7 linked regions of the Oryza sativa Japonica Group genome follow. The main gene of each other region encodes a partner of the protein of the gene in region 7 in a complex. Links are inferred from orthologs where the notes say so. Each region holds a gene or a part of one and is shown on either strand. Other genes may lie near its edges.

Region 1 (3,093 bases), on a different chromosome or scaffold from region 7:
CTGCGTGGAATTGTACTCTGCAGTTTAGTACAACACAACTACCTAAGTAGCATGATGACATTAGTACTTAATGCAGCGATGGCATTTTTCTAAAAAAAGATTGAGATGCAGTTTTGTAATTGGCAATTTTTGAATTGTATGACACTCTTTTGCAGAATAATGCACATGAAGATCAATTCAGGCCATGGGTTGATGTTTCTAAAGACCACGAGGTTATTCCTTTGATCGATTGAGATTTACACATTGCAGCTGGTCAAACCCTCAAGTCCAAAACATTAAACATCTATTTGCGGGAATGACTCTCTTAAGGGTGACGTAATGTCATCAGCAGAGATTGTCTCGTATCTATATGGAATGAGATAAATAAATATATTGCCAATGATCGAGAAATAATTCCCTATTGGAATATGCGCACATCCTCTTTGCAAATAATTTAACATTGAGTTTTGCCTGTGAATTTGAGGGCTGGATTCCATGTTCTACCTGATCTCACCATCATAAAGCAATAAAGCAGTGGTGTTATTTCAATGTGATTGGATTACCTGAAGTATCGACATTTTCACACCGCTAATACTCAGCAAAAACCATAGAACGGAAATGCCATGAAACTAGAGTGCTAGACCCTTCCTTAGTCTTCACGACAGGGTAATACCCTCAGTTTGCTCAGCTTCTCTTTATGTAACCATGTTGGAGTCGACAAAATTATTATCGACTGTGAATGTTCTGCTTTTGTATGAACCCGATTTGAGTTCGGAAATACCCTAGCTCATGGCTCTTCTGGAAGAGCAAAATATACATTGGGCATCTTTGAACGGGAAAATCATTGATAGTTACATGCTTTCTCTTTAGGGTACAACACGCATTCTATTTTACATCTGGGATCTGGCTGCTGTTGAATTTGATCCTTGGTTTGCCCATGCTGAAATTGAGGACTCTAGACATCATGTTGTACTTTATCTCCCCATCGTATAGCAGTTTGCGGATGAAGTGCTCAAGATCAGATCCGATCAAACGAAGCGTGTACTCTGACAGCTCCGCGCCCTGTAAATTCAATCCAGGTCAGTTAAGCAGGTACTACCAATTAAGCTCTTACAACTAACATTTCCACCTGGAGAAAGAGACCATGGGTGTACACTACTGCTACCCTGCATTTGCAATTGCCAATTCTGCCTATGAGTTACGGTGCGTAGTATACCTCGTAGTGATCGACGAGGTCCTGGAACTCGTCGTAGACCTTCTGGCACGTCTCGTCGGTCCAGACGAACTCGTCGGTGGGGTCGAGGAGGAGGGTGAGCTTGTCCATCTGCGTCTGGTCGAAGGCGTTGGTCTCCGGGTTGATGTACGCGGCGTAGATGCGGATGTGCCGCGTCGTGCAACTCAGCCACTGCCCGCCGTACTCCCGGCTCATGTTCTTGCTCTCCGCCAGCGGCTGCACCGGCAGCGGCTGCGCCGGCCCCTGCCTCCTCGTCTTCCGCTCCCGCCTCTGCTCCTCCTCCTGCGGCGGCGGCGGCAGGTTTTCCACCGCCGCCTCCTCCTCCTCCTCTTTCACCTGCTGCTGCTGATCTTGGGCTCGCACCGGCGGGAACCTGACGCTTCGTCGCGCCGTCCACGTCGCGCGCGGGAGCCGGCGCTCGAGCGACAGCTTGGCCGGGGACAGGAACGGGGACGCCGTGGTTGCCATGCTGCGCGCAGCTGTTTCGCTTGGCTTTGGCTTGGCTTGTGTTTGTGTTGCGTGGGTGGTGGTGGTTTTTTTAGGTTTGCTGCGCCTGCGCGCGCGCGGCTAAGCTGCCGTGCCGTGCCGCCTTGGAGCCACTGGCTGTGTGTGGCTTGTGTGGATAAGGGCTATTTCTGGCACTGGGTTTCAGCGACTCGTACATGTTCTGGGCCAATTGACCACACAAATGTATTGGGCTGTGGACGTTGGCACGGCCTGTTGCATTGCATGACAGAGCTGAGCAGCACGCGCTCTCGTGTGGTATGGATAAATACTGTTGCATTTCTGACAAAACTTTGTATGTGACTGTTTTTTTATAACTCCATGTGGTGTGACGGTGATTTCATACTTAAAGAAGTAACCCACTTTTCCTCGGCACAGCAAAAGCAGAGGATACGCATACTCCATGGCCTTTAAAATAACGAGAGTAATTTTTTTTCCTTTTCACTTTGTGATGATCGCTTCACATGAAAGGCAAAGCAAAAGCCTCTGTAGTGATTTTAAGCTTTCTCAGGCGGGAAAAGTCTGTTCAGGATTACTCCATCCGTCCTATTTTAAGTGCAACCATAAATTTCCGTGTCTAACTTTGATCATCCGTCTTATTTGAAAATTTTTTATAATTAGTATTTTTGTTGTTGTTATGTGATGATACAACATGAATAGCACTTTACCCGTGACTTATGTTTTTAATTTTTTTTAAATAAGACGGACCGTTAAAATTAGGCGCGGAAAATCATGGCTACACTTAAAATGGGACGAACAGAGTAAAATACTTGGGAGACATGTACGTCGTACACCGGAGACTTGGAACACTTAAAACACTTTATTATATATAAACAACTTGTTCATATATATATATATATATATTGGGCAGTAATGTAATCTTGGCAGCAATCAATTACTACAACTAACGTGTATGCATGGTGCAGCAAATAGAATACTTACAACTAACGTACGAATGAACCAATTCAAACGAATGAAATTTAATCATGTATTTATGTACAAAGGAGAGACATAAGAACGTAGCTCGAGCTAGCCATGGACATTGGTCTGCATCGCCGGCGGCAGCAGCTCAGGAAGCCCGGGCGTCGATGCAACGATGAGGGGTATCACGGGGAGGTTCTCGCAGTTGCAGACCTCGATCATATTGCCGTCGGGGTCGTGGAAGAAGAGCTGGTCCACCACCGTCTCCCCGTCCCACACTTTCCTCACGACGAACTCCCGGTCCATGGCTCGTAGCCTCGCCTTCATGACCGCCATGTCTGAGCACTGCCATTCGCTCAAATCGAGTTAAGACAAATACGAACTCTGCTCTCGAACATAACAGTAGCTGATCGACCTGCGTGCATGCGACTGATACCTGGAAGGAAACGTGGTTT
Region 2 (3,614 bases), on a different chromosome or scaffold from region 7:
AATTTCATGACACCGAGCAGCATTCAGAGCATCTGACGAAAAAGGTTTTCGTTTTAAACCGACAAGAAGCTTTTGGAATTCTTGAGTCTTCCTGCCACGGAAATGGCAGCTCTCCTTTTCTTCCCTCATTCACCTACCAGTTCTGGCTCTGAACCGGTCAATCGATAGTTCAACTCTCACGATTTGGGTGTTCTTTGGTTTCATAAAAGGATTTTAGGATATTCTCTGAAGTCTGAACAATGCATGTTTCGATTTGATGGTTAACAAACCTATGATTAAATTATCTTGTGGCAATACTGCAGTGCAGACAGCAGTCAAAGGCTCAAAGCTACTACTGCACATGTGCTTTGACACGAACTTTCGACATTTTTTTGAGTACATTAGTATTGATACAGTCGATTAGCTTGCTTGAACTGTTGAAGGTTTGGAAGTCACCAGTCAATCGATATTCAGTCAGAGTTCAACTTCATTTAGTTAGGACTTGCCACAAAGGATGGGAATTTTTGTTGTGTTTGGCTGTACCAATGACAGTATGAATAATGAGACATGTCTTTACAACGTTATACTTACACAAACACAAGACTTTTCTTCTCTAGAAAACATAAGACCAATTTGATAGTATATCAGAGGACCGGTTTGTTATATATCCTTTCACTTCTTGGTACAGATTGCAAATGTAGTACTCTGCGTATTGGAGACCCAAGGAGCTCCGGTGACGCATTTGCTTTCGGCGTCTGGGCTTAGGCATGTCGCACCCTTTCTCTTCATCTGTCCGTAGTCCCGCCTCTTGTATGAAACGCCAAAATTTACTCGAAAATCTGCCAGAGAATGTAACATGCTTATGTAACAAACAACAACCCCTTTAGGCAAGGGATACTGTTTTCAGATGAAAAAAAAATCAGACAGGTTCAGAATACCACCACCATACCTTGTTTGCACCTAGTCTGTTCAAGTCATGCATATTCCTTTTCATCATATGCTCACTTGTAAAATCCAACCAGGAAGATGTCGTATAGGAGTGTGGTGTTGCCGGGAATATTACAGTCTCCTGTTAAATAAGTAAATCTTCTGTAAATTTGTATATTTTTTCTAGCGAATGCTAATAAGGGAGCCAGACAGATAGCACTGAAACATCGTTAAATACATGAAACTTAATCTGGTCTCAAATTTCTAGAATTAAATTAAGATTACTTGTTTGATTACTTTTTTTTTTCTTTCGTTATTACCTGAGAAGCAACCTGCTGGTTCAGGTCCGTATGCCAAAGTTGCAGGTATCATAAGCTTGCGCTTTCCACCTGTAATGTTATTGCGATTTTCAACAGAGACACGATGTGATTAAGAAAAATAAAAGCAGTACTATATTTTTAGCATTTGACACACAAAGAGATGCATATGCTTATTATTTCTGGATTTCTGACAGTACCAACGAGCATGGGTGGCACACCACCGCCACCACTGATTCCCTGTTCAAGCCCTCGGAGGATCTGAGAATGAAAATGCGAACGAACCAAACAATAAGATTCCTTGCATAACTACATAAGATGCTTGCTACGATCGAAGATGTACGTGCAATGAACAAAAGCTGCGCACCTTGCCTGCGCCAAGGCGCATTGTCAGTGGCCGTCCTCGCTTGTAGGTGCTGTCGAACACTATCCCGTCAGTAAATCTTGCAGTGTAGTGTACCTTACAACCATGAACACAACTCCAATTAACACACTTGAAACTCCTATCAGTGTCATGGCGAGAAAAAAATGGCAGGTTTATTCGTTGTCGAACTAACTAAAGGATCGGTACTGATGCAAATTGGGCAAATTTATGATCTGCCAATGCTTAATTACTCCATACAGGAGTTAATCATATTCAGAAAACACAGGTTCTTCTAGAGAAAGTGCGAGAAACTCTTCTGTCGGAACTGACATTTATGAGCTGGCCGCGCGGGGGCTGGGCGCCGGTGCCGACTTCGACGTCGCAGTAGCCGAGCCCCGACTTGACGACGTTCATGTCGCACAGCTTGTCCCCCACCGTCGCGTAGTACTCGATGCGCGTCGCTCCGGCGTCGCCGGCGGGGCACAGAAGCCCAGGGGAAGCCAGGAACCCCGCGCCCAGCGCGAGCAGCCCCCTCCTGCCGGCCGACGTCGCCACCGGGAGACTCCAGGCAGCCGAGCACGAGGTCGACGACGGGGAGGAGGAGGAGGAGCTGCTGCTGCTGTTGCTGCACGCCGCGACGGTGAGCGGCCTGCCCGGTTTGGCGACCGGAGGCGACGGGATTGGGTTGGAGGCCATGAGCGAGAGGGAGGAGGAGATAGGAGGAGGCGCCATCGGTGAGTGAGTCACTTGGGGAGTAGAGAATCGGATTATCCCCAAACTGTGGCTGCTGCAACGCGGGCACCTCTCTGTCGCGTCGTTATAAACGCCCGCGTACGTCGTCACGGGCCATGGGCTTTCCCAACTCAACACCCGAGGACCGAGGAAGGAATCCTCGTTTTTTTTGCGGGCCAAGCCGCGTGTCTCGTCGCCAAACGGCGGCCGTGGCCCGTGGAACGACAGATGATTCCAGGAAAAAGTACACCGAAGGTCCCTCAACTTGTCATCGAGTTACAAAATCGTTTCCCAACCGCAAAACCAGATATCAGGCGTTCCTCAACTAACAAAACCGTTCACTTTAGATCCTTCGGTGGTTTTGACCCCGGTTTTATTTGACGTGACGGCTGAGTCAGCGCGTGGGTCCCACATGTAAGATGCCATATCATCACCTCTCTCTTATTTCCCATTTTCCCCTCCTCTCCCTCCCTCTCTCTCTTCTCAGGGCGGCCAGCGGGTGCGGATTGCGGAGGAGGCTGGTAGGGCAGCTGGCGACGGGTGGCGATGTGGCAACTTGGTGCGGCACCGACGAGGATGGGGTTGGCCTGCAGCCAGAACGCCGCCATCCCCCACAGCTCCCGCAGCGAGCGTATGCTAAGAGGGAGGAGGCGGGGAGGCCGGCAGCGAGTGCATACGAAGAGGGAGGAGGCGGGGAGGGGTTGGAGGTGGGATGAGGGCGAGCTCGCCGGCCTCCCCGCCCCCCTCGCCAGACCTGCTGTAGCGCCCGTTCCGTCGTGGCGCCTAGCGGGGAAATTATCTCTTAAAAACCCTAATTGCGAAATTTGTTTCTTTGCTTGTTGTCTAGTATCCGTGCCATCTCAAGATCTCAATCCCCGATCTATCGTCGAGTTCAATTCCGAATCCAATCCCTCCAAATCAAATTCCTCCGCAAAAGTCCATTTTGCCTCCCCCAGGGTCGATGGGCCGATTTTCCCTCGGCCCATCTTCCCCTCTCTCTCCCGGCTCTCTCTCTCGCTTTCCCCGGCGCGCCCCCGCTCTCTCCCTCTCTCCCTCCGCTCCGCCCCGCGCCGCGCGCGCGAGCGCGCGTCGCCGCGCCGAGCGCCCCTCCCTCGCGCGCCACGCGCGAGCGCGAGAGCCGCGCCCTGCGCCCCTCCGCTCGGCCCCGCGAGCCAGCACGCGTAAGCCGCCCGCGCCGAGCCAAGTCCTCCCTCACCGCTCCCTCGCTGCCGCTTCCCGCGCGCTGTGTTCGCGTGCGCGCGCCCGCGCGGACGCCGCCCGTTGCAAGCCGCGCG
Region 3 (3,484 bases), on a different chromosome or scaffold from region 7:
GTCGAGAGACCTGTGTCGAAATAACTATTGTTAGTCTCTGATGACTGATGAGCTGATCGACGGAATACTACGAAGTTCTGCACCCTATACAAGTAGTATATACATGTGCTACCTACTGTGGTAGTGTGGTCTGTACTGTACGTTGAGTGCAGACTGATTGCTGCTGGTTCGCGGCCTGTAGTGGAGCAGCTCAAGTATGATCAGCGGTTCTTCTTCCTCGATCGAATGGCCGTGGCCGACGATGGCGTCCAATTCCCAGCGCGCGACCACCAGCGCAAGCAGGCCGAACTAACGGAGTTTTTTGGGCCAGTCCATCACCGAGCGGCCCGGTAAAGGTAGCCCATAATCGCTACCATTCTGTACTGGACCCAAATAAAGTTGGCCCGACACCGTGAGAGCCGACAGAACGAAAGCATATTGGATCGCCACAATTTGGTTGCGATCTGACAAAACTTCCGTCTCCACAGGGCACGTATATCCACCATGGTGTAGGTCTATATCAGTCGATTTACACAATTTATATATTTTGGAAGCAATATCCACCATGGTGAACGGTACAGGTTCTTTGATTAACATGGAGTAGTACATTCCTTCTTTTAGCCTACACTACAAATGCAATATAATGCATTCATGCAGACGGAGCACCTATTTGCTTTCCTTTTGAGTCTGATGCCAACATTTACAGGCGCTATCAGGCAACTGTGTATCTTGCTATTACACAGCCGCTCTGTACGGTATTACAGAATGCAGCCGCATCGCGCCATGATCATGCAGTCATCCATCCATGCGCAATCTCTCATTCATCCATCAGTTTGTAAGCTGCTCCTCCTTGGCTGCTTCCTCGAGTTCTCTGAGCCCTCCGACCCTCTGCTCGATCTCCTCGAGTAGCTCCTCCCTCAGGAGCTCCTCTCTTGCAGACGCCTCCAGGTCCTCTTGCTGCAGAATCAACCATGGGAGAGTGGAGATCGATCAGCAAAATGACTGGTTATCTTAGTAGCTTCGCACAACTAGAGTTTGTCTAATTGTCTGAATGTTCTTTCTTCGTGATAAAGGAAAAAAAAAAAGCCGTAATGAAAGACATACCCGGTCATAGTACCAGTGCACGGTGCCGTCACCCCCTTGTCCCCTGTACGCCTCACTGTCGTAGAAAGGATCCTGTAAATTCACACAAGACCGTGTCAGTAACACATATCGAAGATGTAATTTCGTTCCAAGTTGTAGTGGCATATGTTCTGCGTGCTTGCCTTCATGGACGCAAAGAAGCAGATGCCCCAGACTGTGAAGAAGGCGTAGAAGGTATCTACGAGACAGACAGAGAAATTTTTTTGTGAAAAGTTTCAGTTTCAGACGTAACAACAAACTGCAGGAAAGGTGAAACGACGACGACGACTCACAGACGCTCTTGAGGGCGGCGTCGCTGAGATGCCAGATCGACTTGTGCACGACGTAGTCCCTCTGCAGGTCGACGTGCTCCACCATCGTCACCATCAGCGTCACCACGTCCAACGGGGACGCGTTCGCCTTCACTGAACCCCTCCCGGCCGATTTCTGCAAACGCTAAGACCGCATTACTTTGCCTCACCAATCACCACGGATTTCTTCTTTCTCGGTGAAAAAATTAAAATGCACTGGGACCTTTCACCTTGCAACGGCTGGAGTTGGACCTCGGGTCATGGAATCCACCGAGCTGCAAATTTAACAACAACATTTGAACAAGTAGGTGAAATTCGCAAGGAATTCAGGAAAGCAGTTTTTGCATGAACGCGAAGGGGAGAATGGACGGTGCGGTACCGTTGCACGGCAGCGGCCATGGAGCTGGGCTCTGTTCGCGGAGTGAAGAGCAGAGAAGTGGGGGGACGACTTGAGCAGCGGCAACGCCATTGCTGGTAGGCTGCTGCTTCAGTAGCGGGTTGGCGATGAGCTTGTTGTTGTCAGTGTAGCGGGCTCACGTTTGGCTCAGGGGTGAAACCTGTAACCTGTAATCTGTATGGAAAATTTTAGTGGATAAGGTCAGACTTTTGGGTGGCCAACCATTGTCTGATCTTGGGCAGACGAAAAGCACAAGAATTTTGGGCTTGGTTGAAGCGGGCTTGAGCGTTGCTAGGCCTTGCCCGGTCAAGGTCATGTTTGGGCCGGATGGGATTAGGTTGACCCGTGGGCTCGTGGCCCGTTACGTGCATCCGTCCGCCATTTCTTGGAGGGCGCTACGGCTTGGCGTCCGGCATCTCACCAAAAATCGGACGCCCATGCAGGCATGTGAGAACGAACCCTGTCACTGTAACGTATGTGTCTAACTGCTTCTTTTCATTCTTTTCTCCTCTCTTTAGATATTTTTTATCCTAAATTACTTATCCAATTTACGATCCGATCACACCGTTCTATTCGTTGCAATTAAATCTTTACAATGAGATATCACATGATTATATTATGTCAAAAGAAAAACATGTATTTCAAAACGTTAAAACAAAATGTTTCGTACGTGATAGTGATATGTTTCAATATGTGTCATCGGTGTGTTTCACAAAATTCATGAAACTAACTGCTACTACTCTCTCTCCTCTCTCTCCACCTCATCCATGCACACATGTATGTATTTTAGCAAGCTTCAAAATAATTTTTCTCTTAAATTACTTATCCAATTTATGATCCGATCACACCATTATATTTGTTCTAATTAAATCTTTACAATAAAATATCACATGATTTTATTTTGATAAAAGAAAAATATATGTTTCAATTCGTTAATACTTGTTGTTTCATATGTGCCAGCGACATGTTTCAACGTGTATTTTCACCATGTTTCATAAAATACTTAAATGTTTCGGTTGTTGATTTTTTTTGTTTCACCATATATAACATAATGTTTCACTTGCTGGTCAACGCTCACCCCCGCACTGCCGCGCGCATACGCATGCATGTAGGCCGCCCATGCTGCATTGTTCACGTGCCACGTTGCTTGCCTCCCCTGTATGTGTTGCTTGCGCTGCTGCTTGCATACGCTCCCTCCCTCTCCCTTCTATTATTACATGTGCCTAATTTTTTCCTCAAATTTTAAATATTTTTTTCTCCAAAATTATATATTCTGATCTAAATTTCAATGATACCATTAGATTCATCATCATTAAATCTTTATAACAAGATCTCACATGGTTATATTTTGATAAAAATATACATGTGTCTCAAAAAATAACTTGTCTCACCATTGATAGAAAACTGTTTCATCACATGTACACAAATATTACAACTCACCTCGTGAATTGTTTCAAATTTAGAGAAATACAACAATTTACTAACTGAAACAATCACAACCACTACACAAAACGTTAAATACCAATGAGTGAAACATAAAAAAAATCATATGAAAAATAAAATATTTTTGCACAAATACTTAATTATGTTGAAATATTTTTAAATCGGACGCTACAAATCGTACGTTCAATATTTTTTCAAATATCGGAGCCTACCAATCGTACGTTCAATATTT
Region 4 (2,906 bases), on a different chromosome or scaffold from region 7:
CGCCCCTCCTCACCGACGACGGCAAGTGCACCCGCCTCAACCGCGCCCTCACCGGCGCCCTCATGCTCCTCTGCGCTGCCTCCTGCGTCTTCTTCACGCTCACCGACAGCTTCCGCTCCCCCACCGGCCGCCTCCGGTACGGCATCGCCACGACGAGCGGCATCCGCACGTTCTGCGTCGGCGGCCGGCGTCGCCGGCGGGGCGGCGGGAAGGCGGGGCCGAGGGAGCCGGAGAGGTACAGGCTGCGGTGGTCGGACCTCTTCCACACCGCCCTGGCCCTCGTCGCCTTCGTCACGTTCGCCGCGTCGCACCACGACATCGTGCTGTGCTACTACCCCGGCGTGCCCAGGAAGGTGGTGAACACGGTGCCCCTCGTGATCGGCTTCGTGGTCAGCCTCCTCTTCGTGCTCTTCCCGTCCAAGAGGAGGGGAATCGGGTACCCGTTCCTGCTCAGCACCGACCTTGTCTACCTACGCCGCTGATGAGACGAAAGGATCGCATGGTCTTCTGATGGATTTGTATTATGTGAAAGTTTGATTTTACATGGTTGTCTTGGGGTAATTTGAGCCAAAATGTATGTACATTCTTCATTGCCTCTCTCAAGTGAAGTACAAAGCGGGAAACAATGTGTGTTGGATGAGATATATATCAAGTAACTTTGTTTCAGGCTGCCTGTTAATGGTCTTGATCTTGTTCATTCCTCTGCGTCAGGGTCCGGCTCAAGGCCCGCGATTTGCTTCAGCGGCTTCCACACAAATTTCCTCCTGGGCCAAACAGGGCACAGAATTTAATTCAGAGATCACAAGAACACATCGTCATCATTAATTTCGGGGTTCAGGTTTACGTACCAGTTGCCGCATTCCGCGATCACCCTGACTTTGGGGCGGATGTCAGGGAGAATGGCGAGGAACTGCAGCTCGGCCTTGGAGAGAACCTGCAGAAATAGAAACCACCAAACAAATTAACGGGACGCAGAAACGAAACGGGAAATTGCAGAGCTGAGCTAGAGAACAGGATGGTGAGATCGATGGATCAATGGATGGAGACCTTGGCTTCCATGACCCAGACGACGAGGCCCTTGGCGTCCGGGTGCAGCAAGCTGAGCCTGTAGTCCACCTCCGGCGGGAAGTACCACCTCGCCACCGGCTGCCTCCCGAGGCTCGGCTGCGCACATCAGAGCAATCAAGCAAGCAAGCTCGTGTCAGCCATGATCGGAGGCAGCTAGCTACTAGCTAGCTCGAGATCGAGATCGAGAGAGAGGATTGTTTTGTGGACTGACCGGGCAGACGGGGTGGATCTTGGTGAGGGTGGTCTCGGGGTCGCCGAGGCCGCGGGCGGAGAGGTCGAGGAAGTAGTAGCCCTGGTAGCTGAGGCGGCTGAGGTAGCGGCCCTCGTAGCCGCCCTCGTGCGGCGGGTAGATGGCCAGCGACTTGTGCTTCTCCACGTCGTCCAGCCACCGCCCCATGTCCGGCTTCACCAGGTCCCCTCCCACGAAGTCCCACAGCCCTGCCCGCGCCGCCGTCGTGCTCGCCGCCCGACCATTGCCCACCCGCGCCCACGCCCCGCGCCGCTGCTGATGCTGCTGCAGGGGCGACGCCGCCGGCAGCGGGGTCACCGTGCGCGCCGCCGCCGCCGACCACATCGCTGGTTGCTGTAGTGTAGTGTGTGTGGGTGGGTGGGTGTCGTTTGTTTGAGCCTGTGGCGGGAAGATAACAGCCGCGCGCGTACTGACCGCGTTGAGCGGATAAGACTCGGAGACGGTGTCGTGCGCCCAGTTTGTTCAACTGAGCGGTGATCTCCGCGGAGTCCACCCAAGCGGATGGTCCGAGACGTGGCCCAAGCATGTAACCACGCTAGATCAGGCCCAAATACGAACCCCAACACCAGAAAGCCGTAACCCGTAAGTTCCATTGATAGAGTAGGAAAAAAAATACAAGATTACAATGTTGTAATATTGTAACCAAGAAAAATGAAAAAAAGTACATCACCACCCACACACCGATAGCACCAACACAAAATCAAGATAAGGCTATCACCGGGCCAGCCGCCGCTAAGCGTGACCGACCACCACTAGGCCAACAACGAAACACAGCCGAGATTTTGCCCAAACCCGACCCTTACAACCAACGCAAAACCACTCTATCCAAGTCTTCGGGATTTAGGGAGAGGGTGAGAGAGAAGAATGAAATTCCTCTTCCCTTAGTCCCTTCGACATGGCCAACTTGCAGAAACTAGAACGCTGTCACAAGAGGATGAGAATCTAGAGTGAGCTTGCACCAAAAGCTTGAGGGTTTCAACAAGGTGATGCCTAGACGATGTTTCTAGTTTCTACCACGAAAACGGAGAGAAGTGATGAAACATCGCCGCCACAGTCTATCAAGATCTCAAATCGAACCAAGACTAGGCTTTCGCCCGACAACTACACTTGAGGGTGAGATGGCATAACAACGGCCTTAGGAGGGGAATGACGCTCGAACATCATCGTTGCTGGTCTGGCCAAGACCGGGCTAGGATTTCACGCAGCCTCCCGCACCTCCACCGCCGTCACCGTCGCCCACAATCGTCGCCGTCCGGATCCGGCCGTAGTGGCGCCGGTCCTCGCCCGCCGCCGCTAGATCCAGGCACGGATCTAGCGGTCTCCTCCTCCGCCGCCGCCAACACCTCCAATCGTTGCGCCCGACCACTCTGCCCCACCGCCAGATCCAGCCGGGCGTAGAGATGGCAATGGGGGCCCGTTCACCATTTCCCCGCGGTGAATTCACCTATTAGGTGACAGGGGATGGTTAATATCCACTCACCATGGGGAATGAAATGGTTAAAAACCTCTCACCATCGGGGATGACGGGGGCGGGGACGGTGAACCATTCCCCGTCCCCGCCCTCCACTGTGACCCGACTGTACTGTAC
Region 5 (2,713 bases), on a different chromosome or scaffold from region 7:
GATATAGATGGTGGTAATCAATACAAATTGTACTCTGTTTGCAAAACACTATATCATTATTGTTACTTCACTGTCTTCCTTTACCATCCTTTTAAATCTGCTGCTACACTTATTCCTGAGTAAGGCAGGTTATATAGAAGTAAAGGCCCTATCTTTTCATATACTCTTTCAAATAAACAAAAATCATGGGAAACCAGCTATCAGGCAAACGTAAACTACAATGCATAGATAGTTGCTGTGCGAAATACTGCGGGATTTTGAAGTCATGTCAGGAATAACGAACACTTGAACATTCATACTCTGTACAATTTACAATCATGAAAGCCTGGTTACCTGACTGTCATAGCCTCTTCGCTTCAAGAAGCAAGAGATGATAATTCAAGTTTGTAAAAAAAAAAATTAATCCTACCAACATAATGAACTATGGCAACTGGTGCCCTTGTAGGCATTTCACTAGCAATCCGGACCAAACGTGATCAAATTGATCAAACATATAGCAATTCAACAAAGAAGCTAAACTTTTATCTCCGAATCGTTTGTTTCATAGTGCCAATTCACACTAAGATTCCAACTGTACATATAGCAATTAACAACAACACATTTACTCACTTCGAAATTACTCATCGAATAGATAATATATATATATATACCCCTTTCACTTCCATCATCTAAGAAAATATAGATAGCTGTATACATACAAGAAGAAGCAGAAGCAGCAATGGTGGTCAAGCCGCGGCGGCGGTGCCTTCCTCCTCCTTCTTCTTCTTGGCCTCCTCTCCCTCCTCCTCCTTGGCCACATCGTCCTCCATCTCCGCGGCGAGGGACTCGAGCAGCACGGACTTAGGGTTCACCATGGGCGGGCCCTTCTCCCTCCCCTCGAGCTCGTCGAGATCGAAGGTGATGAGCCTGTCCCAGATCCCCCCCTCGAACAGCACCCCGACCTTGCCGTCGGTGACGCGCTGCACGATGCCGCAGTACATGTGGTAGGCGTTGTTGGGGTTCTTGACGAGCACCACCATCCCGGGGAGGAACAGCGGCAGCTCCGGCGCCCTCGGCCGCTCCACCGTGGCGGCGGCGGCGAGACCTTTCCTGTGCGCCGGCTTGGGGGGAGGCGGGTTCTTGGCGACGAAGTCCTTGAGGCCGACCTCGCCGCCGGGGAATCCGCCGGTGAGGCCCATCATCTCCTTGTCGAACGCGTCCGGGTCCACCCCGGACGCAGCCGGCGGCGGCGGTGGCGACTCCGCGGGCTCGTCGGAAGAAGTGGTGGTGGATGGCGGCGCGGCGGGGGAGTCGGAGGCGAGCTCCTTGCGGATGCCGACCTCGCCGTTGCAGAGACCCCGGCCGCCGAGGAGGTCAGCGACGCGGAAGGTCGCCGAGGGAGGGGGCAGGCGGACGATGCGGGGGTGGTGGTGGTGGGGCAGCGGCGGCGGGCGGAGGAAGGAGGCGGGGGTGGTGGGCGCCATTGGTGGAGCAGAGCGGAGCAGAGGATGTGTGGAAGTGACGAAGCCTTTAAAGCCTAGGTGGATGAGGACCGGGGGTGGCTAATGGGCGACTGGTACTGCTATACGGAGTACAGTATATACTTAAAGTACTACTAGTACTACTACCACTGTACTACTTTAAACTACTACTCCCTCCGTTTCATAATATAAATTATTCTAGCATTTATTACACGTTAACATCAATATGAATATGAAAAATACTAGAATGACTTACATTGTAAAACGGAGGAAGTAGTAGTAACTGGAGTACTACTAACTACTACTACTAAGGCTGTGTTTAGATCCAAAGTTTGGATCTAAACTTCAGTCCTTTTCTATCACATCAATCTATCATACACACATAACTTTTCAGTCACATCATCTTCAATTTCAACCAAAATCTAAACTTTACTCTAGAATAAACACAGCTAACTAGAACTAGTACTAGTACTACTAGTACTGGTAACTAGGACCACTACACCACTACTACTGTTATTATATACTACTAGTACTATTTAAAAAATATATTTTATATGTAAATATATACGCATATACAAAAGTTTATATATAACGTATAACAAAGTTTATGATATATATACAAACTTTATATATGTTCATTTTAAAAAATAAAAAAAAATAGAGGAAAACCATCACGTATATAAATTTTATATATACACTATACGCATATATATAAACTTTATATACGTATGTATATAAACTTTGTATACTGTATATACAAACTTTATATATGTGATGTTTTTTTTTTAAAAAAACAAAGAACCGAAGAAAACAACCATAAAAACCGGCGAAAAAAAAAGAACGCGGGCCTCCCACTGTGCGCGGCCGCCGCGCCCCCTCCCCCTCCTACGCGCGCCACGCGTCCATCCGCGCGGGGTGAGGGGGCACGCGACCAGTCGCCAATTAGGAATTTCGGATGAGGACCTCGTGTTTTTCGACTGAAAATTTTACATTTAAGCCCCTTTTTATTTTTTTTCATAAATAGGCCCCTAAAGTTACTATCCGTAAGAAATACTTCCTCCGTAAAAAAAAACCCAACCTAAGAGGAGATGTAGTGTCCAGATTCGTTGTACTGGGAGGGGTCAAATCCCCTCTTAGGTTGGTTTCTTTGGGATGGAGAGAATCACAAAATAACTCAATCTAGATTCGTTGTCTTAGAATATGTAACATCCTATCCTATATTGAGTTATTTTGGGACGGAGGGAGTAGACGAC
Region 6 (3,246 bases), on a different chromosome or scaffold from region 7:
TACAAAACCACAGCAGCAGCGTACACAGACGGAATGAATCAAAACCACCGATCCCCAATTCCACCCCCCTCCGCTTCGCAGCCGCAAGCACACACACCCAACCCGGCCCCGTACCTTCACTATCCGGATGCGCGCGATGCCGGCGAACTCGTCGACGGCGATGGCCCTCCCCGTCCCCGACTCGGAGGCGTGGGCGTCGCCACCGGGACGCCCCGCGCGGTCGCGGTGGCGCAGGCGGAGGCGGCGGCGGAACCGCTCGAAGCGAGACGGCAGCGGCGAGGGCGGCGACTCGCCGTCGCCGCCGCCGCCGCCGCATGCATTGTGGCGCGAGGGCGAATGGCCCATCTGTCAGTGAGATGGAGTAGTTGGACTCGACGGCAACGCGCAGGCGCAGCGAGAGACTTGAAAGGCGATGACCTTTTAAACGCGAGGCAGAGTAGGAGGAAGGGTCATCGGGTGGTCCCCACATGTCATACAGATAATAATTAATGGCAGTTTCCACATGGCAGTTGTTATACATCTGGGAAAGGCAAAAGGCCGTACCCAAGCAGGAGTCGCCTGGGTGTTCGTTAGACTGACATGTGGGGCCAGGATATGCTCGGATCATTCACTACCTGGACATGCGGAAGAAGATTCATGATTTTTTTTTGCTTTTTTCCAGCGCAACCGTCGCAAGACAAAATAATGGTACGCGTGGGGCCGGTTTGATCGAATATTTTCGAAGGGTTGCTATGTTTTGCTAAAGTAGAGGTCAAATGGGATGGATCATGGATGGATGGGGACGTTGAAAACGCGGTGGATTCATTTGAGGAGGAAGGATCCTTGGCATCGGTCAATTGTGCATGTTACGACAAGTGCCACAAACCAGCAGAAGCAAAGGTAGAAGATGACCATTGCAAAAAAAAAAAAAAAGGGGGGGGGGGTGTCCTCCTAAGCTTAAGCTAGGCTTTGCATTGCTCTCAACGCTTTTCTCCCTTCCACTTGCCGCTGTTGTTTACTCTTTCCAAGCTAAATAGCGACATAAAACTAAAGCGGAATTCCTCATTTGCTCGCTCATTCGCTGAGGTCGAGCATACAACAATCTAAGACGGTGTCATGATCCATGACCTTGACTCCTCCAATTCTCCTTTATTTTTTCTGTCTATCTCTCTCTCTCTTTTCTTTTGCTAATTCATTCATATAATATAATCATCATATATGGGCCTTACCCAAATGAGGTGAGCTGGGCCTGAAGCTTTGTGACAGTTGGCCCAAAACTGAGAGCGCTAGCTCAGGCCCAGTGGTCACCTTATCTGCCGCGTGCAATTCATGTGGCACATATTTACGTGCACTTCGTCACTTTGCTTTTTGCCATTGCCATTGCCAAAGCTAAGCTTCTCGCCATGGAAGCTCTCCTCTCCTCGCCGCGCGCTCTCTTCTCCGTCACGCCAACCGCGTGCTGGCCGGCGTCAGCCAGGAGGAGGAGACGTGTTGCTTCTCCTGTCAAGGCGGCCGCCGCCGCCGCCGAGCCGGCCGGGGAGGAGAAAAAGCCCGCCACCGGCGGCGCCGCGGCGGCGGCGGGAGACGGCCAGGCGGCTGCGCCGGCGCCGAAGAAGATCCTCAAGAAGAAACCTGTCTACTCGAGTAATGAATACGCTTTGCAACTTTGCATTTCAGCTCTGAGTTCTGAACAAGCATCAAAGCCATTTAGCTTCTTGTTTGTTTTTTTGTTTATACTTGATTAACCAATCCATTTATTTTCATCCAATTGATTTGGTTGATGATGCGCCACAGTGAAGAAGGGCCAGATTGTGCGCGTCGACAAGGAGAAGTACTTGAACAGCATCAACGTAAGCACACTGATCGATGCTACTGCATAGATGCTTCATTCATTTCTACTCTTTGTGCTGTAATTTCAGTCTATGATTTCCTCCCCTGCACATGATTTTTTTTAAAAATTTGTTTCATTGATTCAGTATCTGTCAGTTGGACACCCGCCTTTCTTCAAGGGGCTAGACTACATATACGAGGACCGTGGCGAGGTAATTATTTAGCCCATCTTACTGAACCTGAAGTTAATTTCAGCTAATTAAACCTAGCAGTAAGAACATCTTCGTTCTAGCTACGGTCATAATCTTGTTCGTCATTACCGTGCAGGTTTTGGACATCAGAATCTTTGAAACAGGGGAGTATGCCCTGGTGAGTCACCTGCCACTTCATTTCTTCTGTATATTTTGTAGATTTGGACTTCTGAATCTCATTCATATGTTTGGACAGATCGCTTGGGTTGGAATCCCAACTCCACCGGCATGGCTGCCAACTTACATGCTCATCAAGGTAATTACAGTATCTCTAAGTCCATCACACATGCAGCATTGCCAAAATGCAGAATGTACCATCATTTGACCACTTAATCTTAACACTATTTTTACAGTCGGATAAACTCGACTACGAGAGAATATGATATGCACAGGATCGAAGGTTGCGTTCAAGCTAGCTCAGCAATCGGGTGGGAGATCGGTCCTTGGCCTGCCAGACTAGCGTTTTTTCAGTTGTTTTCTTCCCTGCATTGCAGATTCTTCCCCTATTTCGGTTCTTCCGACGATTAATCTGCAGATGTTTTCAGTCGGTTCGTGATATATGACAATGTGTTGTATATAGATGTCAATATGAGGCGATTTGCTGTTGCCTGTTGCTCCGCATCTAAATTAATTATACTGAACTGAAAAATTTAACAAAAGTTAAGTGATGATATTCAGAGCTATTCAGATTCATTTTTTGAGATGGCTAATTATCGTGCCATCTGATCGTATTCTGTAAGCTTCAAAAAAAAAATGTTAGAGATATACTGATATAGAATAGGCTAACGGATGCACATACCCATGAGAACGTCTCTTTTAAACACGTTCGTAATGCATGAAATAACTAAAAGTTCTACTGAAAGAATACTCATTGTACGTGTAACTGCGGATATCAGAATTTAAACTCTAATGAACATACTTCTTCTGTACGCACAAATCCATCACTAGGCCCCGTTTGAATCCTCTAGGAAGAGAGGATATTTTTTTTTTGATATTCGTGGCACGCTTTTCAAACTGTTAAACGGTGTGTTTCGTGCGAAAACTTTCTATACGAAAGTTGTTCTAAAATATTAGATTAATCTAGTTTTTAAATTTGTAATAATTAAAACTTAATTAATCACATGTTATTACCACCTTGTTTTGTTATGAAGCTCTTTTGGAACGCATGTTATTTTTACGAGTTAAT
Region 7 (3,549 bases):
TGATCAAGTTCCTTTTCGCTCTGTTCAGCCAGGGGTCATGGTTCTGTGGCTTACCGTTTTGTCGGAGGAAAAATGTTAGGTGTCGCTGGCGCTGCTCTGAATGAGCGGAATGGTGACCTGGTCTTGACAACAAAATTTTAGTCTGAAGATTCAGATGACTAGCTTTGTTGAAACTCTAGGAACTTATTCTGGAAATAGTTAGCGGGTTTGGAGGGGAACTTATTCTGGAAATAGTTAGCAAGTTTGGAGGGCATTGTAATTGTTGTAATATATGAGTTGCAAACATTCTTTCTGAGGCCTGTGTACTTGATTCCTTTCGCCTCTGTAATGTATTGGTTTGATCGTGCACACGTCTGTATAGAAACGCTGTTGATCTGTTAAGTCCTTGGCTCCGGAGACTATGGCCTAATGGTCTGCCTTTTTAACTGATGGCTACTCGTCGCTTGCAAGTTGCAACTGATGGTTGAACCGATTCAATCAACATAATTAGATGGCTATAATAGAAAAATAGCTCTAATAGCATACACACAATTAATTAATTGAAGTCTATAAGGTAATTATGCATCCTTTTTCCTGGAAGCTGAGCCAGGGTGTTCGATCCAGCACTTTTTCTAGTGGTAGATCAGCGTCTGTATGTATGTATGTATCTACATGACTACGAAGCAATAAAATAAAAGATATTTCTGCAATTGAACTGCCTCCCATCACGCGGTGAGGTCGGACAGCTTGAAGGAGTCGGCGACGACTTTGAGCCTGTTCCTCAGCCTACTCCATCGCCGCTCGTTCGCCGTCACGATCAGTGTGTAGTACCGACCTGCCATGCCATTGCCATTGCCATCAGGTTAACCAGCTTCTTCTTATGAGAGGAAAAAAAAATACATGCATGATGAAATATACAATTTAATAGATGATGATGATATATATCTCTGCGATCTTGTGGTGAGGAGGCATCATATCAATATCATACCGTTTCCAATGGCAACCGTCGCAAATGCGGACACGCCGTAGCCCGGGGCCTCAAGATCGTACTCAAATGTCCAGTAGTTCTTGCCATCCACGGTGCGCTGCGAATCACAACAACTCAGTTGCTTATTTTGCTTGCAGAGTTGTTGCAGTCTTTGTTATAGCCATTCCAATGAGATCAGACGTAAATTAATCAGCGAAAGAGCAATGCAGCGACAGTTTGGTATACTCAGATAGATCATATGGCTAAATAGTATTGATTGAAGGAGATGGATAAATGGCAAACCTCTTGCATGTCATAGACAGTTGGTATTTGATTTGGAGCAGCATAAACATTGTTCACCAAATTGAAGATCGCCTGATAGAGGAGTATGTAAATTGTCAGAATAAAAAAAATCTATGATGTATAACAAAAGAAAAGGCTAAAAAAATTGCCTGATTCCTTTACATTACCAAGAAAGATATTATCAGATATCGCATGAAATCCTACCTCATCCATTGGACCAAGGTCACGGATATCTGTTTTTGTAGTAGGAATGAAGCCCACACGCACGCACTGCAGCGCTACATTACGATCTTTGAACGCTGAATCATGCCCCAGGAAGTCGAAATCCTGAAGTGACACATCAAAACAAAGGGCATACATCAATACCATGTACCACCGAAAACACAGTCATTGGAACTGACATCTCTGTTCTTCAAGACGAAAATATTGCAACCTACCCTCCAATCAGCTGGATACAGGTATGAATATCCATCTTTTGAATCCACATAAGACTTGTAATTCTTTGGCACTTCTGGAATATAGGAACAATCCGAGTTAGTATCATCTCATGGTGCCATAAAGGCTTAATGGCTACTTGAGAAGTGGGAACTTGTATGTAACATGCAGACAACCTAGTACTGAAATAAAACCATGCGACAGTTCAGATGGCCATGCCTTCAGCATATGCAGAGCTGCTCTTTAGCAGACCAGTGGCTAATGCTCCAGCACCAAGCAGAGCTAATCTCCTCCTTGTCACATCTGTAAGATGGAGAGATAATCAGCCAAAAAAAATGTTAATCTTCAGAAACAAAATGCATCGAGAGAACTGACAGAGAGGAATTTACTCTTTTCATCCGAGGATGCTTCACTCGAGCTAGCGTTGACGACTGACAGAGGAGACGCATTCAGCTTGCTGGTAACAGCACAATTTGGAGCAACCAACTGAAAACAACACCGATATAAAGTGGTGAAATAAACAAGATTCAGAAAACGATGAGAAGAGGGCACAAGCACACACCTGCTTGGAAACGGAGCAGATCAAATTCTGCAGGCTTGCCATTTCACCTGCAGGAGTAGCTATGAACCTGAAGAAAATACGTGTTCTTGCCTTCCTCCAGTCAAGTTATCCTTTGCTGCTAGGACTGGCTCGTTCGCTTTTCAAGTGTAGTCTGTGTGTCTGTGTGAGTGGAGGGCAAGGAAGCCAGGTCAGCATTTCCATTATCCTCATTAGAACTTTTGGCCTTGTCTCGTACTGAGCACTGACTGACAAAATGGGACCAATCCGTTCCTGTTGTGATTGTGGTGGAGATATGTGAGAGCTTTATGTTTTTCCAATTCTCTTTTTACCTTTTTTTTTGTACATTGACTTTGGCTGAAAAACAATATATGTACACACACACACACACGATCCTACCATCAGATCATGCGATACATATTCGATAGCTTCGATGTAACAAGAAAGATGATTTTGACTGTGCTTCAAACTTGGTAGATAAATAGTACAACAGCTGCGAACTAACGCATTTAGCCATAGCAAATAAGCAAAGCTGCAATTAGCAACCATAGTGCCACTAGCATAACAAGACTGAATTTGCTCCAGACTGTTCACAGCGAAAGGGGATGCTTGAAACAAAATTTTCAGGTTAACATAAATAATATACAACAGCAGCTAAGATATTTTGAGGCTAGTAGTTCTTTGGGGCAGGTTTCACTAAACCCAGTCCAGAACCACTCCCCAAATGCTTGAAATCTCTCGCCTCTAGACGCTCATCATGGGCAGCGAATCCAGTTCCTCCTTTTTCCAAAGGAACGAAATTCCTCTCCTTGCACGGTTTGTTGCACACCAAGCAGACCTTATCAGTTACAAGGAACTTGTCAGAGCACTTCTTGCAGAAGACATGGCCACACGTGCTGATCGTCACCAGGGACATGGTGTTTGTTAGGGTAGACTTGCAACTGGGGCACATGTAGCTCTTCTCCACCGACTTCTTGTTTTTCTGGTCGGTGTTTTCTTCAGTGAAGGAGATAGGGAAGAGCGATTTCAACTTGAGCTTCTCCTGTCCCTCGGGGCAGATTGTGTCAGTGGAGGGAGCTTCTACTTTGGCAGTAGCTTCAGGTGTAGCTGATGGAAGCCAGAATGCCTTCATGTTGCGAAGGGCTTCCTCCTCAAAGGAAGTAACCTTCACGCTGTTTGCTCCATGAAAACCATTCTTGTCTTCAGAGCCGCTGCGATCGTGGTATTGGGGGACGGCTCCATGATTCTGCTGATCAAAAGCGTCCAACTCCTTGGACTTTTGCAGCATACGCTTCTCATCCTCCTC

The links.
Region 1: photosynthetic NDH subunit of lumenal location 1, chloroplastic (region 7) and nAD(P)H-quinone oxidoreductase subunit M, chloroplastic share a complex: the UniProt entries of both Arabidopsis thaliana proteins name them as parts of the chloroplast NDH complex. The link is inferred for Oryza sativa Japonica Group from reciprocal best matches to the Arabidopsis thaliana genes PnsL1 and NdhM.
Region 2: photosynthetic NDH subunit of lumenal location 1, chloroplastic (region 7) and photosynthetic NDH subunit of lumenal location 4, chloroplastic share a complex: the UniProt entries of both Arabidopsis thaliana proteins name them as parts of the chloroplast NDH complex. The link is inferred for Oryza sativa Japonica Group from reciprocal best matches to the Arabidopsis thaliana genes PnsL1 and PnsL4.
Region 3: photosynthetic NDH subunit of lumenal location 1, chloroplastic (region 7) and photosynthetic NDH subunit of subcomplex B 4, chloroplastic share a complex: the UniProt entries of both Arabidopsis thaliana proteins name them as parts of the chloroplast NDH complex. The link is inferred for Oryza sativa Japonica Group from reciprocal best matches to the Arabidopsis thaliana genes PnsL1 and PnsB4.
Region 4: photosynthetic NDH subunit of lumenal location 1, chloroplastic (region 7) and NAD(P)H-quinone oxidoreductase subunit N, chloroplastic share a complex: the UniProt entries of both Arabidopsis thaliana proteins name them as parts of the chloroplast NDH complex. The link is inferred for Oryza sativa Japonica Group from reciprocal best matches to the Arabidopsis thaliana genes PnsL1 and NdhN.
Region 5: photosynthetic NDH subunit of lumenal location 1, chloroplastic (region 7) and NAD(P)H-quinone oxidoreductase subunit S, chloroplastic share a complex: the UniProt entries of both Arabidopsis thaliana proteins name them as parts of the chloroplast NDH complex. The link is inferred for Oryza sativa Japonica Group from reciprocal best matches to the Arabidopsis thaliana genes PnsL1 and NdhS.
Region 6: photosynthetic NDH subunit of lumenal location 1, chloroplastic (region 7) and NAD(P)H-quinone oxidoreductase subunit O, chloroplastic share a complex: the UniProt entries of both Arabidopsis thaliana proteins name them as parts of the chloroplast NDH complex. The link is inferred for Oryza sativa Japonica Group from reciprocal best matches to the Arabidopsis thaliana genes PnsL1 and NdhO.

What each region holds. Positions count from the first base shown.
Region 1 is NC_089038.1:27,480,329-27,483,421, reverse strand, and holds nAD(P)H-quinone oxidoreductase subunit M, chloroplastic, read right to left. Parts: upstream 1,722-3,093; 5' UTR 1,682-1,721; coding exon 1,196-1,681; intron 1,042-1,195; coding exon 865-1,041; 3' UTR 501-864; downstream 1-500. Other genes in the region: uncharacterized LOC4336531, read left to right, coding at 156-233; uncharacterized LOC4336529, read right to left, coding at 2,747-2,983, 3,075-3,093. UniProt on the Arabidopsis thaliana protein: NDH shuttles electrons from NAD(P)H:plastoquinone, via FMN and iron-sulfur (Fe-S) centers, to quinones in the photosynthetic chain and possibly in a chloroplast respiratory chain.
Region 2 is NC_089036.1:32,085,314-32,088,927, reverse strand, and holds photosynthetic NDH subunit of lumenal location 4, chloroplastic, read right to left. Parts: upstream 2,395-3,614; 5' UTR 2,320-2,394; coding exon 1,918-2,319; intron 1,684-1,917; coding exon 1,591-1,683; intron 1,485-1,590; coding exon 1,424-1,484; intron 1,296-1,423; coding exon 1,227-1,295; intron 1,049-1,226; coding exon 981-1,048; 3' UTR 929-980; intron 819-928; 3' UTR 501-818; downstream 1-500. UniProt on the Arabidopsis thaliana protein: NDH shuttles electrons from NAD(P)H:plastoquinone, via FMN and iron-sulfur (Fe-S) centers, to quinones in the photosynthetic chain and possibly in a chloroplast respiratory chain.
Region 3 is NC_089036.1:31,695,870-31,699,353, reverse strand, and holds photosynthetic NDH subunit of subcomplex B 4, chloroplastic, read right to left. Parts: upstream 1,988-3,484; 5' UTR 1,882-1,987; coding exon 1,792-1,881; intron 1,688-1,791; coding exon 1,643-1,687; intron 1,549-1,642; coding exon 1,395-1,548; intron 1,301-1,394; coding exon 1,245-1,300; intron 1,156-1,244; coding exon 1,084-1,155; intron 937-1,083; coding exon 808-936; 3' UTR 501-807; downstream 1-500. UniProt on the Arabidopsis thaliana protein: NDH shuttles electrons from NAD(P)H:plastoquinone, via FMN and iron-sulfur (Fe-S) centers, to quinones in the photosynthetic chain and possibly in a chloroplast respiratory chain.
Region 4 is NC_089035.1:38,936,210-38,939,115, forward strand, and holds NAD(P)H-quinone oxidoreductase subunit N, chloroplastic, read right to left. Parts: upstream 1,748-2,906; 5' UTR 1,643-1,747; coding exon 1,280-1,642; intron 1,165-1,279; coding exon 1,048-1,164; intron 935-1,047; coding exon 849-934; intron 765-848; coding exon 695-764; 3' UTR 501-694; downstream 1-500. Other genes in the region: protein DMP7, read left to right, coding at 1-482. UniProt on the Arabidopsis thaliana protein: NDH shuttles electrons from NAD(P)H:plastoquinone, via FMN and iron-sulfur (Fe-S) centers, to quinones in the photosynthetic chain and possibly in a chloroplast respiratory chain.
Region 5 is NC_089041.1:5,276,820-5,279,532, forward strand, and holds NAD(P)H-quinone oxidoreductase subunit S, chloroplastic, read right to left. Parts: upstream 1,555-2,713; 5' UTR 1,464-1,554; coding exon 726-1,463; 3' UTR 501-725; downstream 1-500. UniProt on the Arabidopsis thaliana protein: NDH shuttles electrons from NAD(P)H:plastoquinone, via FMN and iron-sulfur (Fe-S) centers, to quinones in the photosynthetic chain and possibly in a chloroplast respiratory chain.
Region 6 is NC_089035.1:42,963,003-42,966,248, forward strand, and holds NAD(P)H-quinone oxidoreductase subunit O, chloroplastic, read left to right. Parts: upstream 1-1,317; 5' UTR 1,318-1,382; coding exon 1,383-1,623; intron 1,624-1,773; coding exon 1,774-1,829; intron 1,830-1,955; coding exon 1,956-2,021; intron 2,022-2,136; coding exon 2,137-2,178; intron 2,179-2,256; coding exon 2,257-2,316; intron 2,317-2,413; coding exon 2,414-2,443; 3' UTR 2,444-2,746; downstream 2,747-3,246. Other genes in the region: phosphatidylserine decarboxylase proenzyme 2, read right to left, coding at 115-345. UniProt on the Arabidopsis thaliana protein: NDH shuttles electrons from NAD(P)H:plastoquinone, via FMN and iron-sulfur (Fe-S) centers, to quinones in the photosynthetic chain and possibly in a chloroplast respiratory chain.
Region 7 is NC_089037.1:9,604,824-9,608,372, reverse strand, and holds photosynthetic NDH subunit of lumenal location 1, chloroplastic, read right to left. Parts: upstream 2,409-3,549; 5' UTR 2,289-2,408; coding exon 2,247-2,288; intron 2,171-2,246; coding exon 2,074-2,170; intron 1,988-2,073; coding exon 1,904-1,987; intron 1,761-1,903; coding exon 1,687-1,760; intron 1,577-1,686; coding exon 1,454-1,576; intron 1,322-1,453; coding exon 1,250-1,321; intron 1,065-1,249; coding exon 968-1,064; intron 815-967; coding exon 705-814; 3' UTR 501-704; downstream 1-500. Other genes in the region: E3 ubiquitin-protein ligase CSU1, read right to left, coding at 2,914-3,549. UniProt on the Arabidopsis thaliana protein: NDH shuttles electrons from NAD(P)H:plastoquinone, via FMN and iron-sulfur (Fe-S) centers, to quinones in the photosynthetic chain and possibly in a chloroplast respiratory chain.